Caenorhabditis elegans: one gene and its partners. The protein of the gene in region 1 binds, or shares a complex with, the protein of each later gene. Each region holds a gene or a part of one and is shown in the gene's direction. Other genes may lie near its edges.

What was found. The genes of interacting proteins can lie anywhere in the genome.
Region 2: mdt-21 (region 1) and mdt-1.2 share a complex: the UniProt entries of both Caenorhabditis elegans proteins name them as parts of the mediator complex.
Region 3: mdt-21 (region 1) and mdt-15 share a complex: the UniProt entries of both Caenorhabditis elegans proteins name them as parts of the mediator complex.

The regions. Positions count from the first base shown.
Region 1 is NC_003281.10:11,775,642-11,780,628, forward strand, and holds mdt-21 (Mediator of RNA polymerase II transcription subunit 21), read left to right. Parts: upstream 1-1,979; 5' UTR 1,980-2,002; coding exon 2,003-2,191; intron 2,192-3,224; coding exon 3,225-3,428; 3' UTR 3,429-4,487; downstream 4,488-4,987. Other genes in the region: immp-1 (Peptidase S26 domain-containing protein), read left to right, coding at 714-944; C24H11.5 (Gem-associated protein 7), read left to right, coding at 4,594-4,677, 4,867-4,966. UniProt on the Caenorhabditis elegans protein: Component of the Mediator complex, a coactivator involved in the regulated transcription of nearly all RNA polymerase II-dependent genes.
Region 2 is NC_003284.9:17,149,972-17,155,199, forward strand, and holds mdt-1.2 (Mediator of RNA polymerase II transcription subunit 1.2), read left to right. Parts: upstream 1-1,550; 5' UTR 1,551-1,551; coding exon 1,552-1,722; intron 1,723-1,784; coding exon 1,785-1,918; intron 1,919-2,622; coding exon 2,623-2,850; intron 2,851-2,914; coding exon 2,915-3,019; intron 3,020-3,062; coding exon 3,063-3,251; intron 3,252-3,298; coding exon 3,299-3,608; intron 3,609-3,897; coding exon 3,898-4,075; intron 4,076-4,121; coding exon 4,122-4,233; intron 4,234-4,360; coding exon 4,361-4,502; 3' UTR 4,503-4,676; downstream 4,677-5,228. UniProt on the Caenorhabditis elegans protein: Component of the Mediator complex, a coactivator involved in the regulated transcription of nearly all RNA polymerase II-dependent genes.
Region 3 is NC_003281.10:5,829,573-5,835,443, reverse strand, and holds mdt-15 (Mediator of RNA polymerase II transcription subunit 15), read left to right. Parts: upstream 1-1,698; 5' UTR 1,699-1,786; intron 1,787-1,930; 5' UTR 1,931-1,967; coding exon of another isoform or gene 1,968-2,060; 5' UTR 2,061-2,106; coding exon 2,107-2,162; intron 2,163-2,385; coding exon 2,386-2,609; intron 2,610-2,659; coding exon 2,660-3,150; intron 3,151-3,222; coding exon 3,223-4,377; intron 4,378-4,727; coding exon 4,728-5,045; intron 5,046-5,123; coding exon 5,124-5,222; 3' UTR 5,223-5,319; downstream 5,320-5,871. Other genes in the region: R12B2.6 (uncharacterized protein), read left to right, coding at 1,291-1,422; R12B2.13 (uncharacterized protein), read left to right, coding at 1,968-2,060. UniProt on the Caenorhabditis elegans protein: Component of the Mediator complex, a coactivator involved in regulated gene transcription of nearly all RNA polymerase II-dependent genes.

The DNA.
Region 1 (4,987 bases):
AAATCTTTGAAAATTCCATTTTCAGCCATAATTTCAGAGGAAAAACCTGAAAAAAAAGCATAGAAATATCTGCAAAAAATGCATTTTTAGCCGAAAATCTCTTTAAAATACCCGATTTTTCATCAAAAAACTACCTAAAAAGTCGCAAAAAACGAGGATTTTTATGGAAAAAATCTGTAAAAAGCCAGAAAACGCAAAAAAAAGTCAATTTTCGTTCAAAAAACCCCAGATTTTTTTATTTAAAAAAAACACCTAAAAAGTCGCAAAAAACGAAGATTTTATGGTTTTTAACGCAAAAAAATCTTTTTTTTTTCGATTTTCTCGAATTTTCAGATGTTTCTTGCACTTTCAGTTGTTTCCAGCCAATTTTCATTTCAAAAATTCGATTTTTCCTAGAAAACCACCTAAAAAGTCGCAAAAAACGAGGATTTTCAGGTTTTTAACGCAAAAAATCCAATTTGCTCCGATTTTCCCGAGAAAAAAACCCTAAAATTTCAATTTTTGCAGGAAGGCGACCCAGTGTCATGTTTTTAGCCAATTTTCGTTTAAAAATCCGATTTTTCATCCAAAACCACCAAAAAAAGTCGAAAAAAAAATAATTTTTCCTTGAAAAATTCAATTTTTTCCGATTTTTTCAAATTTTCAGATGTTTTTAGCCAATTTAAATGCTATTTTTCATTAAAAAAAACCCATAAAATTTTCAATTTTTTCAGGAAGGCGATCCAGTAACCTCCCATTTGCTTCCATCTGGCAGAGTTCCAATTGGTCACGTATTCCTTCGCGGTGACAACGGCCCAGTTTCAACAGATTCCAGACATTTCGGCCCGGTACCTGAAGCCCTTGTTCAGATAAGGCTCAGCCTGAGAATATGGCCTCCAGAGAGAGCCGGATGGATTTCTGATCATTGGTTTTGGGATAAAAGTGATAGAAATGCAGAGAAATAGGCTTCTTTTTCAGTGTAATTATGTGCTTTTCCACCCTTTTTTCCTGGTTTTTGTCTCACTTTTTTTTTTGCCATAAAATACTATTTTTCCATGTTTTTCTACTTCCATTTTCTATTTTTTTAATGGGTTTTAACCCTATTTTTACCTGAAAAAAACACTTTTACAGCAAAAATTCCATGAAAACTATCAATTTGAAGCCAAAAATCCAATTTTTCATCAGAAAACTCTCTAAAAAGTCGCTAGAAAACTAGAATTTTTGGTTTTCAGCGCAAAAAAAATTCAATTTTTAATTGAAAATTAAAAAAAAAATTAATTTTACTCATTTTTTATTCATTTTTATCCGATTTTCAGAGCCTTTCGACCAACTTTTCATCAGAAAACTACCAAAAAAGTATCAGAAAGTATGGATTTTCAACGCAAAAAATTTAGATTTCCATGGTAAAAAGTTGAAAAAAAAAATCGATTTTCACTCCATTTTAATTCATTTTTATCCGATTTTCTCGAATTTTCAGAGTTTTAGCCAAGTTTCGTCTAAACAATTCAAACGTCTACTAGAAAACCTCCTAAAAAGTACCAAAAAACGCACAAAATCCGGTTTTTTATTAGAAAAATACCTTAAAAATCGCAGAAAATAAGGATTTTTTTTAGTTTTTCAACTCAAAAAAATCAATTTTTCTTGGTAAAAATTTGAAGAAAAAAAATAATTTTTATCCGATTTTCTCAAATATTCAAAGTTTTTTAGCCAATTATCTTCAAAAAATTCAAATTTCTACTAGTAAATTCCTAAAAAGTTCCAAAAAACGCATAAAATCCGGTTTTTTATCAGAAAAATACCTTAAAAATCGCAGAAAATAAGGATTTTTAGGTTTTCAACTCAAAAAAATCAATTTTTAATGGAAAAAATTTGAAAAAAAAAATGAATTTTCACTCCATTTTAATGCATTTTTATCTGATTTTCTCGAATTTTCAGAGGATTTCGACCAATTTTTATACGAAAATTCCAATTTTTTATTAAAAACTACATTTCAAGCTCATTTTCAGCCCAAAAACTCTTGAAAATGGCTGATCGAATGACCCAACTACAGGATATGATTAACGAAATGGCCGGATTAATGACAAATGCGATTGGAGTGCTCCAGGCGACTGCTCCGCCATGTGAATTTGGAGCAATTTCACAGGAGCTTGAGGATGAGCCAAATTGCGCGATTTTTGCCGCTGGAATTGCAAAAGCCGCTAAAAATATTGAGGTTTTCTATAGAATTGAGCATTTTTCGGCCAAATTTTCAGAAAATCCTAAGCAAAAAGCTTCAGAAAAGCTGTTTTTCTCGTTTTTCAAACTATTTTTAGCCTGTTTTAACTCAAAAAATTCCAGAAAATTCCAGGAAACCCTAATTTTTATTCAAAAAATTACAAAAAAATCCTCATTTTTACCCGACAAAAATTTAAAATTTGTATTTTTCTATTTTTTTTAACTGAAAATTAGATTTTTTTTTGAAATTTTTGTGAAAAGTGGATTTTTTTTTAATTTTGAGTTTTTTTTAGTTTTAAATTAAATTTTTTTCGGCTGAAAATGAGGATTTTTGTAATTTTTGAAAATTATTGTTTCCTGGAATATAAAATAGTTTGAAAAACGAGAAAAACTGCTTTTCTGAAGCTTTTTGCTTAGGATTTTCTGAAAATTTGGCTGAAAAAATTAATTTTACAATATTCAGCCAAAAAATTTCAGAAAAATTCAATTTTCGGGTGAAAATTTGAAAAAAATTGTGAAAATTCGATTTTCCGGGTGAAAAATGAAGAAAAATCGAAATTTTTCTTTAAAAAAATTCAAAAATCCACATTTTTAGCCGAAAAAAAAAATTAATTTAAAATTTAAAAAAACTCAAAATTAAAAAAAATCCACTTTCCACAAAAGTTTCAGTAAAATTAATTTTCAGCCAAAAAAGTACAGAAAAATCCAATTTTTATTGAAAATTTTAAGCAAATTCTCATTTTTGCCGAAAAAATCGTGATTTCTACCCAAAAAACAGCAAAAAAAATCCAATTTTCTGTCGAAAAATTCAATTTTCGGGTTAAAATTTGAAAAAAATTGTGAAAATTCGATTTTCCGGGTGAAAAATAGAACAAAATTAATAATTTTCTTGAAAAAAATCTCAAAAAAATCGAATTTTAGGTCGAAATTCTTTTGAAAATTCGATTTTCTGGGTGAAAAATGGCTAAAAATCGAAAAAATTCAATTTCCAGCTTAAAATTTCGGGAAAAAACCAATTAAATAATTTTCAGATCCTCATCGACTCATTCCCAATCGAAGCGGGCAACCAGGAAGCGGAAGTCGAGGAGAAAATGATAAAAAACGACGAAAAGCAGCGAGAAAAAGTGAATGAGCTCGTCGGACTCGTCGGCGACAGCAATCGGCTCGTCGGAGTTGTTCAGAAGAAGCTTGCCGAGATTTCAAAGACACAAATGAGCTCGAGACCCAGTGAATAATTATTATATTTTGCCGATTTTTGCCGATTTTTTATTGTAATTTTCATCATTTTTCCATTATTTTGGGCCGATTTTCTGGTAAATTGAGAAAAAAAAATCAATTTTCTAGTCCATTTCCTCTTGACAATTCTTTAAAATCCAGAAAAAATTGCCTAATTTGCTGTGAAAATTTCAATTTCATATCGATTTTCATGTTTTTTTTCCATGTTTTCAGCCGATTTCCATTTTTTTTTGTGATTTTTCCTTAATTTTTCGATTTTAAATCAACTTTTTTTCCATTTAAAATCGATTTTTCATCCCTTTTTGCCCCTGAAAATAGTTAAATTCTAATTAATTTTCCCCTATTTTTCTTGAAATTTTCGATTTTTCTCATTTAAAATCGATTTCCACCACTTTAAATAATTAGAAATTCCCAGAGAAAATTGATTTTCATAGCAAAAAATTATTTTGGGCCGATTTTCCCGGAAAATTGAGAATTCTAAATCAATTTTCTAGTCCATTTCCTCTTGAAAATTCCTTAAAATCCAGAAAAAATTTTGCCTAATTTTCCGTGAAAATTTCAATTTCATATAAACTTTCATGACTTTCTATTAAAATTGGGATTTTTCCCATTTAAAATCGATTTTTCAACCCTTTAAAATATGTCAATTTTAATTTATTTTCATTCATTTTTTCCCATTCAAAATTGATTTTCTACCCTTTTTTCTACTGAAAATTTGCTAAATTTGAAAAATTGTGGGTAATTTATCTTTTTTTTTTTAAATTTTTTTCCTCAAAAATAATCATTTTTAATTCAATTTTCCCCCATTTTTCTAGAAAGTTGCCAATTTTTCCCCATTGAAAATCGATTTCCACCACTTTAAATAATTAGAAATTCCCAGAGAAAATCGATTTTTTTTCAAATTTTTCCCTTGAAAATTCCAAAATTTCTTAAATTTCGAAAAACTGTGATCTCTTTTTCTTTTTATTTAATTTTTAACTGTTTTCTGTATTTTTGCCCATTTTTTACACTTTTCCCCCAGAATTTGGGTATTTTTAAATTTAAAATTTGATTTTTTTTTTAAATTTAATACTCCTCATTTTCCTATTCTATTGGCAAAAACCATGGTTTTTTATCTGAAATTCTCTTAAATCTAGCCTAAAACCCTAGCAAAACCACTTCCAGATGGCCCAGAGCACACAAGAAGCAGAAGGAGAGCAACAGAGGCGACAAGCTGTGCTCCGGGAGCGATATTTGAGCTTTTTGCAGGTGAAAATTGGACATTTCATCTACAAAACCTCTCAAAAAATCGATATTTTTGGTGAAAATCTGAAAAATTCAGCGAAAATTTTGAAAAAAGCCACCGATTTTCTCATTTTTCAAGTCTAAAAACTGAAAATTTTCCAAAAATCCCAATTTTTGTGCCATTTTTCCCCGAAAATTCTCGAAAAATTCCAGAAATCCGCCGACAAGCCAGCCACCATCGAAATGTGCGAACGAACTACGGTCACCGCCACAATTAAAGCATTTCAACCGTCTTCGGAGCACGTGATCGTCGGTACGGTGGCCGTGGCCTAGG
Region 2 (5,228 bases), on another chromosome or scaffold:
GTGCAAACATCGAAAATGAAGTGGCCAATTGAAATATGAGAGTGAAGAAAGAATTGGATGAGAGAGAACTTGTAAAATCCAAAAAAAAAAACATTCGACCTAATACCAACCAGTCGAGACGAAGAATGGAAGACGGCGAGACAACGAAACCAGCAGCACAGCCGCCTGCCCGCCCTATAAATTGGACTTGAAACAGAGACGACGACGACGAGGAAACTGGTGGGTCTGGCTGCGCAGTCAATGCACACAACGGCTACACCACCAGAAAATTGAGGGAGAACACAGAGCACCGTTGTGCAATTCCTCGAAGGTCCAACATCTGTTGAGGCGAAAAAAGCGCAACAGTGTTCGAGCACCTGTTCGTCAGATGGTTCAACAAAGAGATGAAAGAACATTGAAAGATTTGTGATACATGCTATATTCGTTTTGGGAAAATTTTAGATCAGCAGATTTTTTGTTGAATTGTGAACGATTTGTGGAAAAATTCTCGAAATTTTTGAAATTTTCAGCAAAAATGTTCATAACGTTGTGAGATTGCATTGGGAATCCCACCGAAACATGGCATGTTGTGAAAATATATAAAGCTTGTTTATAAATTAGATGAAACTTAAAAAAACGGGGAAAATTTGATATTAAGCAACTTGAAATTAAGTTTAAAAAACTGCCAGGAGTCTTTGATGATTGAAAAATACCTAGTAAAAATAATGCATAATCTCACGGTATAAATTTTTTATTTGAAGAAAAATTTTAAAAATTTAAGGGTGTAGAATGACAAAAGTACGACCGTTTGTAAACTTATCAAATTTTGTTTAAGAATATGTATGTATTATACAAAAAGAAGATAAATGTGTGTAAAATCATTTTTTTAAGTGGCAGTATCATTTAGTGATTTTTAAAATGCAAAACCGTTTTCAACACACTTTTAAACTACTTTTTTTGTAATGAAAAAATTATTTTCAAAAGTATTCTCGGCAAAATATCTTAGTCATATTCAAAATGGGCTATCATTGGGAGTGTTTCCATCAAGATGTTTTCACAATTTAGTAACGATTTTCAAGCCCCAATAAAAACAAAAACTATACCGCAAATACTTGTCCAGATTCACATTAGGTCCTAAAAAATATTGTCATTCGCCCTAGGATTGAACTGAAAATATAGAAAAACACTGGCATGGAAAAGCAAAAAAAAATTTTTTTTGACAAGTTCTTCTTCTTCTCGAAATTCCCATACTTATTTTTTTCCATTAGCAATTGTAATTGTTCATCATCGTTTCCATGTTCTATGACACCACTTTTCTAATGTCTTGGCTGTGTCCTTCTCCCCTCCATTGCCCATGTTCCTCTCCCGCTCTCTCAAACACGCATTAGCTAGAGATAAGGTATCCAAGGAGTGTGCAGACAGTGTGCAAACACCATCACGGCATTTTGCGGACTTCCCTTTGAAGACGACATCTTATTTTTTATTTCTTTTTGTTTATATTTATTTTTTATTGTTAACTTTCCTCTCTTATTTGTAAATTTGTATTCAACTCGATTAAATTTCGATTTTAGAATGGTTTCCACTCCATCACCGAAAACGAAAGTTTACCTGTTGGAGCAGCGGAAGAATCAAGAGCTCAACATTGAGCATATTGACGAGGAAATGAGATTGGAACAGGTCCGGCAAGCCGCATCAAAAATGGAATGGACATCATTCGGGCAGGCTGTGAGGCGAAACTTGTTGGTAACTATTTTCTTTAAACTTATTTATTGTGAAAGACAATTTGAAAAATGCATGAATTGCAGGAAAAACGTAACACAATCGATGCTGATGGTAGAATTGACGTGCTCAACGGGATTGCGTACATGAAAACAAAAATGCCAATCGAGGAAAACAATCTGATGGAGGAGAAGATACGGGTTATGGCTGAGAGTCTTGGGTAAGTTTTCAGTTAGAGAAATGGCGTTAAATTTAGAAAACTGCCATAAAAACCTGGCTTTTTTGGAACCTAGAATTTAACTGCTAAAAATGATAGAGCATTTCCTTGCACCTATTTTTCACATGCATCAAAATGTATAATTTTTGAGTGCTCTTAAGGTAGAATTCATTTGCCGATTGAGCATTAATAACTTGGAAATCTATTTTTCGTAGCACCTGTTGCTTCAAGAAAGAAAAAAATCAAAAAGGAGTAGACCCACATATACTTCAAATTTTCTGAAACACTGTCAAGTTTCATGTTTTCTTGAAGAACCAAAATCAGTTCCACATCGGACCCTAGTTTGTAATAAAAATATTGTACTTGTATCCAAGATTGAGACGCAAACCTGTCAAAAACTAGAAGAGTTTACCGACTGCCAATTGCTAGAAAATAATCGCGTACTAAATATACAAAATTAAGAAAGTGAGCACCTACTCAATTTCTCTGAAATCTTTACACATTATTACATTTCACAAATAAATGAAAGTACTGCACAACATTTGTTTCTCGATAGACTAGTTTCCTTTTAAAAAAATTAGAAACCTGGTACGTTGGAGTCCGACAAAACTTATACATATTCCAACGTTATCCACTTGAAATTTGCCTAGCCATAACTTCTAATCGCTCAAAATTTATTAAAATACATAGCTCACTTTTATTTCCAGATGCTTGCACAAACAAACTTCTCGCGGATGGTCCATCAATCGTCAAGAAGATCTCATCATGGACTTTACTGTCAACGATGGTGAAGTGACAACCGTTGTGCTTAGTTTTTGGGAAGAGCCTTCATTCTACTCCCCAGAAGCTACAAGAATGCTCCAGTTAGGGATGTGGACAGAGCTTCGAAACCGAATCTCAGATATGCTGTTGACGTATGATAAGTTGTTGAGCAGGTATGTTGTTTGACTTTGAGCAAAGCAAAAAATAATGCTTCTAGAACTCACTCCCATTTTTCAGAGACGATCGTAGAAACTGCATGGGAGCTATGAGAATGCTCGAGATGCTTTTTGGACACTTCTCTCAAGACCCTTCCTACACTTCAATTCACAGATCCAACTATGGGTAACTTTATAATTATTTTTTTAATGAAAAATTTTAATTTTAGTTTCTACCTTCCACGTAATGATCTCCGCGCAGGGCGTGTATATTATTTGGCGGAACCACACTTTCGGAACATTCGCTCCAAGGATCATATTTTCCAGTTACAAAAGGATGATCACGAAGTTTTGCCATACTTTGAATTTTCGTTTGCCAAGCATGATAGCCCGTGTACACTTCCAGAGTTTGACACAAAGTGAGTTCATTCACATCTTAATATTATTGAAAATTGTAAATTTCCAGAGGCTGGGCAGAATCTATTGAAGCAAACGCTGTGATTTGTATGAAGCTATCCAGAGGGTTCAATCTTACTGAAACGACTAGAAAGAAGTTGGGAGCAATCAGTGCAAAGACTCCATCCGTTAAGCATTTCACAAATAGCTATCGCTACGTGACTGGAGCGGTGAAGATTGAGAACAACCTGCAGATGATTACACAGTTTGGCGATGGACAAACTCAACACTTCTACAATGTCGATGTGAACCAGTTGCGCAATGATGGTGACTCTGTGATCACTGAGATTTATTTGAAGCATTTGCAAGATTTTCATGAGGTAAGCAGTAGTAACATAGATTGTATTTTAAAAGCGCCAGTTTCATGATTCAATTAGCAAAAACATAAACATTTGAGTATCTTTTTTGTTTTGAGAAAATAAGCATACATGCTAATGCATGCTTTACATAATATGGACACACATTTTGCAACTTTCGGTTTTTTGCCACAGGGAATTATTGAACTTTGTGAGTCCGTTCAAATACTAGAAGTAGAAATATTATTTAAGACATCATTAACATATGTAGTCAGATATTCCACTACTCGATAAAAATAAATTATAATTGCAGATAATTGCAATTCTTCGCAACGAAGCCATGCATATCAGCCTTTGGGAGTCGATGATATCCGCGTGTTATGAGAAGCAGGGTATGAAAAAGCACACGGTTGCCGCAATCAAGATGGACGTTTTTCTGACAAGAGAGCAAATTGTAATCACCTTTGATACAAAATTTGCGCCGGTCAAAGGTGAGTTCTAGATAGATAAAGTGTTTAATATTAAGTAAATTTGCAGTTGTAATCCAGGATAGTGGAGTTTGTGAGGCAAAGGTGAATGTTGTGCATGCACAGACAGGCCTCCAGATTGCTGAAAAGATTGATGAAACATTGAGCAGAAAACTCAATGAGTAAGTTGAAACCGTACACTAACGCAAACGCAGGACTTGTTGCAAAGTTCCTGAGAATGTCAATAGCAGTTTTGGTGCCAACTCTTTGTCCATAGAACATCCTAGAGAAAACATTTGAAAATTTCAGAACTTGGAGCATTCCAAATATGCTTACCTACGCCGTGTCGGGTAGTGACTGCAACTTGGCAAAGATCAAAGTTCCGTTGAGAAGTGAAAACCCGGAGACTGTGGGCCCAATTCCAACTTATGCGGCTGGACGTTCCTTCTAACGGATTTTTGACTTATGATGTGTTTGTATAGTTTTTGTTTTATTATATACTTGAGCCTTATTTGATACTCATTTTGATTGTTGTGAATGTTTGAAATTAAGTTTTATATGCATTTGTATTATTTAAAATTTGCCATCTGAATTTTTCAAAGAGCTGAAAAGCAGAAAAAAATGATTAGAGGTTTTTTGCATGAATACTGAAAGTTGATTACTTAGGGTCAAAAATATCTTTAATAGTCAAACTGGGCAATATTTTCTTTAATTATGTCAATTGTAAGCTTGCTGAAAATATATAAAAGTAGCTCTAGTTGCCCAAAGACCTCGAAAGTTTACCCAAACAACTAAATTTCATAATGAGACTTTTCAAAGTTTTTAAAATATTTTACATTGCAGTTCAAAATTTCAAAAAAAAACTGTTCAATTCAGCTAAAATCTTCAATATTTATGTTTGTATGTGGCACATGGCCGGAAATCAATGTTCATTTAATGATCATTGAAATTTTGACCTTTCTTAAAAAGTTTTAAAACATTTTTGAGAAATCCGATTGCATAATTTTGTAATTTGGGATTAATATAATTTACAAACTCTGTTTAAGCATGAAAACCCAAAAAATTGATTTTTTGACAAATTCATTATTGACAGAAACTATATCCATAATTACGTATATGTTACAAATTTGACAGGAGACTGTTGTGGAAAGAAACGGTGATAGCATTATAAAGTTTT
Region 3 (5,871 bases), 5.9 Mb from region 1:
TTCGTCTTTGCTCAGGCAATCAGCACCGAACTCTCTCTCTGTTAGAAAATGTCGCCAGTTGCTCGGGCTCTTTCCCTCTCTCTCTATCTCTCTCTCTATCTGGCTCACCGACCGCGTGGTGGTGCTGCTTCGTCGACACGCTCGTTTGGTGATAAATGATTTGCTCCCCCTTTTCGTTTTCTTTTTCTTCTTGCGTTGATTTTTCACATTGTTATTGCACTTGGCAGTGTCGTATTTTTGTGTTTTTATTTTGACCCATAAGTTCTAATACGATATCTTAGGCTCCCAGCTTGACTGGTGCTCTCATAATTTGAAATCAGAAGTTTTTCTTTTAAAAATTGAAAAAAGTGCACATTTTTCTTAAATTTTGAAGCTAAATATTTGAAATCTTCCACACTTCTAGTTTAATTCTCGATAACATCTGATAATTCTTTCCAAAATTTCAGGTCGAGCTGGCAAACATGGAAAAGCAATCACATTCCTCACACCTGACGATACTGCCGTCTATTTCGACTTGAAGCAGGTAAAAATTGTGGACGGACACCTTCCAACACACGTGTAATTGGTTTACTTTCCAGTGCGCGCTAACCGAATTCCCTTTCGTCTTTTTTCGCGCGCGCTCTCCGGCACTTCACACATGTGTTGTGGTGCTGGAAGGTTGCCTAATTTCTTGCACTTGAGCTGGTTTTCTCTCTGCGACGAAAATGGATTTTTTGTTAGGCGGAAAACGGAATTCGTTTTTTTTGTAAGAAAATGAAAATTATTCGGGAATGATAAGACCGGTAAAACGTTCCATAAGATAAGAACATATTTCAGCGTTCTAGAGCAATTTAAAACAAAAAAATGTTGTGATTAATTCTACAATTTTTGCGCCGAAAATACGGTACCCGGTCTCGACACGACAGAAATTGTTGTTAACTGCGAAAGGTCTGCGTCTTTAAAGAGTTCGGTAACTTCAAATTTTCATTACTGCGGTAATTTCAAATTTTCATTTCATTGAGTTTTCCCATAAATTCATAAATATATTTTTTTATCGAAAAACAATGAAAAATCTTTAAAAATTCGACTGAGATTAAAGTTTGGAGTTACAGTACTCTTTAAAGGCGCACACCTTTCACATTCATCAAGAGAGTGTCGTGTCGAGACCGGGTGCCGTTTTTTTGTCAAAAACTAGAAGAATTACGTTGACGCGAAATGTATGTCCCCTTGCTTTACAAAATTTTATACACAAAACATTTAATTTTTAAATTTTCCAGGTTCTCGTTGAATTGCCTGCGTCGTTATGCCCGAATGGACTCGCGGAACATGATGCTGCACGGAGCAAACCTAGACAATTCACATCTTGATGTGAAAGTGAACTTTTTGTTTGAAAATTTCAAACATTTTTCAGTTTTTTTAAAACTTACCAAATCTTCCAAATAATACTAACCACCACATATCTTCCATTAAAAAATTTAACGTTTTTCAGCGTTCTGAATATCTTATCTCTCTGGTCCATTTCTCCTACAGAATATCTCTATCTCATAATTGCCTATTTTTATTTGTTTTTCTTTCTTAATTTCAAGCGTTTGGGATATCTTATCTCTCTCAACTCCGTTTATTTTTTTCTCCTTATCCGTCTCCTTATCCGTATTCCTTTATTATTAATCTCTTCTTCGTTCAACATCGCTAAATATTTTTTTCAATTCCTAATTTCAGGTCAAACCGGGGAACGAATCAAAAAGTGATTTTGCCGTCGGCGATCCGAAAATTTTGCCGGCTCGTCGACTATTGACGAGAACAAGAGGTGAGAAAATGGGGAACTTTTTGATATTTCCATCCTGATCTTTTGTGAATTGAAAGTTGAATCACAATAGATCGATGCACCATAATACAAAAAGTGACAATTTTTCCCCACTTTCAACCATCCATTATTCTATTTCTTTTGCAGGAATCGTCGTTATTTTTCGTTTGCCGCGTTCGTCGTTTTGATTTGTTCTTCATTTTCCTTCTTGTCGATAATTGTGTGTGAATCAAGACGCTCAGAAAGCCGCCGCCACGTTGACGTCGACGGTTGTTGAATCGCTTGCAAAAGCAACATTTCAAAAACAAGAGCAGAGTAGAAAGATGAGCGAAGAGGATTGGCCTTCGCCGAAATTTCGAGAGCATGTTATTCAGAGACTGTAAGCTTTTTTTAAAGGAATATTTTTTTGATAACCGAGAAAACATTTTAAAAAATTTTTTTTTTGTTGAAAATTTCCAAAAATTTCCATTCAAAATTTTGATAAATTCCCAAGTATTTGTAAATTATAAACCATAGGAGCTGATGTCACAAATGTATCCAGGCTGTACTCTTTTTAAAAATGAAAAAAAAATCCCGAAATATAAAAATTTTCCAATTTTCAGTGAGCCTGAGTTGGCGAGAAACCGGCAGAATGCCCCAAATTTACCAGTACCCGGTGACGCGAGGCAGGTCGAAGAATATGTGTTCGCAAAGTGTATGTCGAAGGACGAATATATGAGGACGATCGCAAAAGTGATTAATGCTATCAATTGTAATAGTAAATCAGCGGCAGTGCCTTCCGTGTTACAACCATCACAGTTTCATAGTCCGCCGTGTACGACAGCAGGTAACTTTTTGTAGTTTTTTGTGGCAACGAAAATCTAAAATTTCAATTAGCTCTATTAGGAAACACTCCGGCTGGCGGAACACCCGGATATCGAGCTCCTGTGCCTCCAGATCCACAACCAACATCAGCTCAGGCAAGAAATCCACCTGTTACCGTAGCAACAACACAGGCATCAACAACTCCATCAGCACCAAATCCGCCAGGAGGATTGCCTGCTCCATCAGCTTCTGCCACTGCTGCTGTTGCCGCCGCGGTTGCTTCATTTCCATCACCAGATACAAGTATTCGTCCAGGTGGACAGATCACTCCAGGATCACAGGCACCCGGTGGAGGTCCGACGCCGGCACCAAATGTTCCATTCCCAAATGGAAGCAGCCAGATGAATGGTGGACCAGCAATGGGTCAGCCACCACCGCAAATGGGTGCTCCAAATATGGGTGGACCACCGAATGGATACGGTGGTTACGGTATGATGAATGGACCACCTGGTAGTGGTGCTCCAATGGGTGGAAATCCGTACAATCAGCAGATTAAAAAGGATGTGAGTTTATTTTTCAAATGTATTTTTTTTTAATCTGCTAATTTTTCAATTTTTGATTAATTTTTTTTTCAGATGGATCAAGCTCGTCCTTGGGATCCTTCAGCACATATGTATCAACAACAACCACAATGGGGTGCAATGCCACCACAACAACCACATGGATATCCTGGAAGACCAATGAACGGTCAAGGAGCCACTCCAACCGGTCCTTCATCAGTTCTTGAATCACTTATCAATCAGCCTCAACAATATCCAGGACATCACAATCAGATGGGCCCACCTGGAGATCGAAATGTTGCTGCTCAACGTGCAGCTGCCCAACAACAGCAACAACAACAACAACAGCAGCAACAGCAACGACCCGGAATGGTTCCAAACCAGGGAATGATGAGTTCCGAGGATCAAACCGTGTATTCTGCGAAATTGAGAAATATGCGTGGAAGCTGCGACAGTTTGAGAACACGAGCAAGGCAATGCAGACATGAGGGTAACCATGAAGCTGCTCACAAGCTTGAGGTTATGCTCAGTGTGCTCGAAGGAAAACGTGTGGTTAGCCTTGAATACTTGAACCATTTGGAGATGTGGATTGCCAGAAAGCAAGACTTCTTGAATATTGCTCCAATGTCACAGAATCAGAATCATATGGGAATGAACGATCCGATGATGAACGGTGAACATGCTATGTTGGGTAATGGTCAGGTGCCAAATCCCTACGGAGGACATCCAGGTTATGGACATCAGCAGTATATGGGACCTCCACCACCACATATGCAAATGCATCAACCACCAATGTGGCATCAACAGCAACACCAACAGCAGCAACGAATGATGCCACAGGATCATATGATGATGCAGGGTGGAGGTGGTCCAGTTCATGGAATGTATCGTGGAGATATGGGACACGATCCGATGACATCACCAGTCAACAATCATCGTCATGCTCCATACCCGAATCCTGCAGCGATGAGAAACAATATGAGAATGCCAAATGGTCCTGGACCAATTGGAAGAGATCGTAATTCGATGAGTGGATCAAGTATGTCAGGTCCAAGTTCTGGAGCCCCTTCAATGAATCCAATGGGTACACCGAATCAAAAAATGGGAACACCTGGATCAATGGGTGGAATGTCAGGACTTGATGATCTGAACTATGATGATTTCCTTCCAAACCCAACGCCGATTGATGCACTTCAGCCAACATTGCACGTCGGGCAGAATTCGATGAATGTAAGTTTTATATTAAAAATTGAGTTTCTCAGCTTTCAAAAAAAAAAAACACACAAAGTATCCTCAAATGATTTTTGAAAAAAGTGAAAAATAATTGTGTCGCCGAAAACACGAAAAAAAAAATCGAAAAACGAAAAACCTCTGATCTCAAACAGGGACACCAAAAACATTTTAGACCAAAAACAAAACATTTTCGTATTTTTTCTTCTCCCGACTAAAAATCAACATTTTCGCAATTCAGTTTTTTTTTCTTTTTTTGGTCCGAAAAAACCAACAAGATTACCAAAAAATCTATTTTTACAAAAAAAAAATCAACAGCCAATCAATAATCTCAATCAATAAATATTCAGGCTGGTCCACCAGTTCAACGATCAAATCTCAATGAAACAGCAAGAAAGGAACTTCAAATCCTTGATGCTCGATTCGAGATTGATCCAAACCATCAACGTCATGATGCCAATCATATCATTGTCGTCTGTAAAATCCGTAATCAACAGTTCCCACCACTTCGACTCGTTGTTCCAACCACTTATCCAGCTGGAAATGTGACTGTAGATCGAGCAGTCATTGATTTGGATGCATATTTGTATGATGATCTACAAAATTCAGTATATGAGAGATTATCACGACCCGGTCTTTCGTCAATTACTGACTATTTGAATGCTTGGGTAAGTTCTTTCGCTGAGAAAGGGAAATTTATGAAAATTGCACTTCAAATTGAATTTTAAATTTATAATTTTCTACAGGAAGAACAAGTGAATCAATACCAAAACCAGACAAGCGGTGGTCTAGACGTCGCTTTCAACGTGGGCAACGATTTCTTCTACGATAATCTTAACTTGTAAGTTAGGTAGAGTGCATTAAGTTTCTTTTTTTGTGCCTGCTCACTAAAAGTTTTGTTATTCAATGTTTATTTTTGTAAAATAATAAAAAATATGAAAAACATTATAAAATAAAGTTGGAAGTGAAAAAATTCCGGAAAGTTTTAATTTTTGTAATAACTTTACAAAAAGTATTACTCAAACGCGAAAGTTTACGATTTTTCACCAAAATTACGGTAACCGGTCTCGACACGAAAAATGTTGGTCAAATGCGAAAATATGTGCGTCTTTAAAGAGTACTCTATTTTTTCATCGTTTTTTGATTAAAAAAATATATACCTGTCAATCTAAAAAAAATACCCGAATTTGACAATGAAAACACAATTAATATGATTTGAAACATGATTTTAAAATTACAGTACTCTTTAAAAACGCAAACCTTTAAAAAAATTAGAAGACAGTTTTTTTTAAACAAACTGTTTTCTTCTCAATCAATGTTTTCTAATTTTCAGGTCAAATCCGTTCTAAACTCCGCCTCGTCTGAATTGAATTGCTCAGTTGCACAAAACCTGTACAAAAAAGAAAATCGAGTCTTCGTGGAATGGATTCAGTTGTTGTTGTCCTCTATAAATGATTGTTTTGCCTCCTCCTCCTATCATCAGCTTGCCCTTCT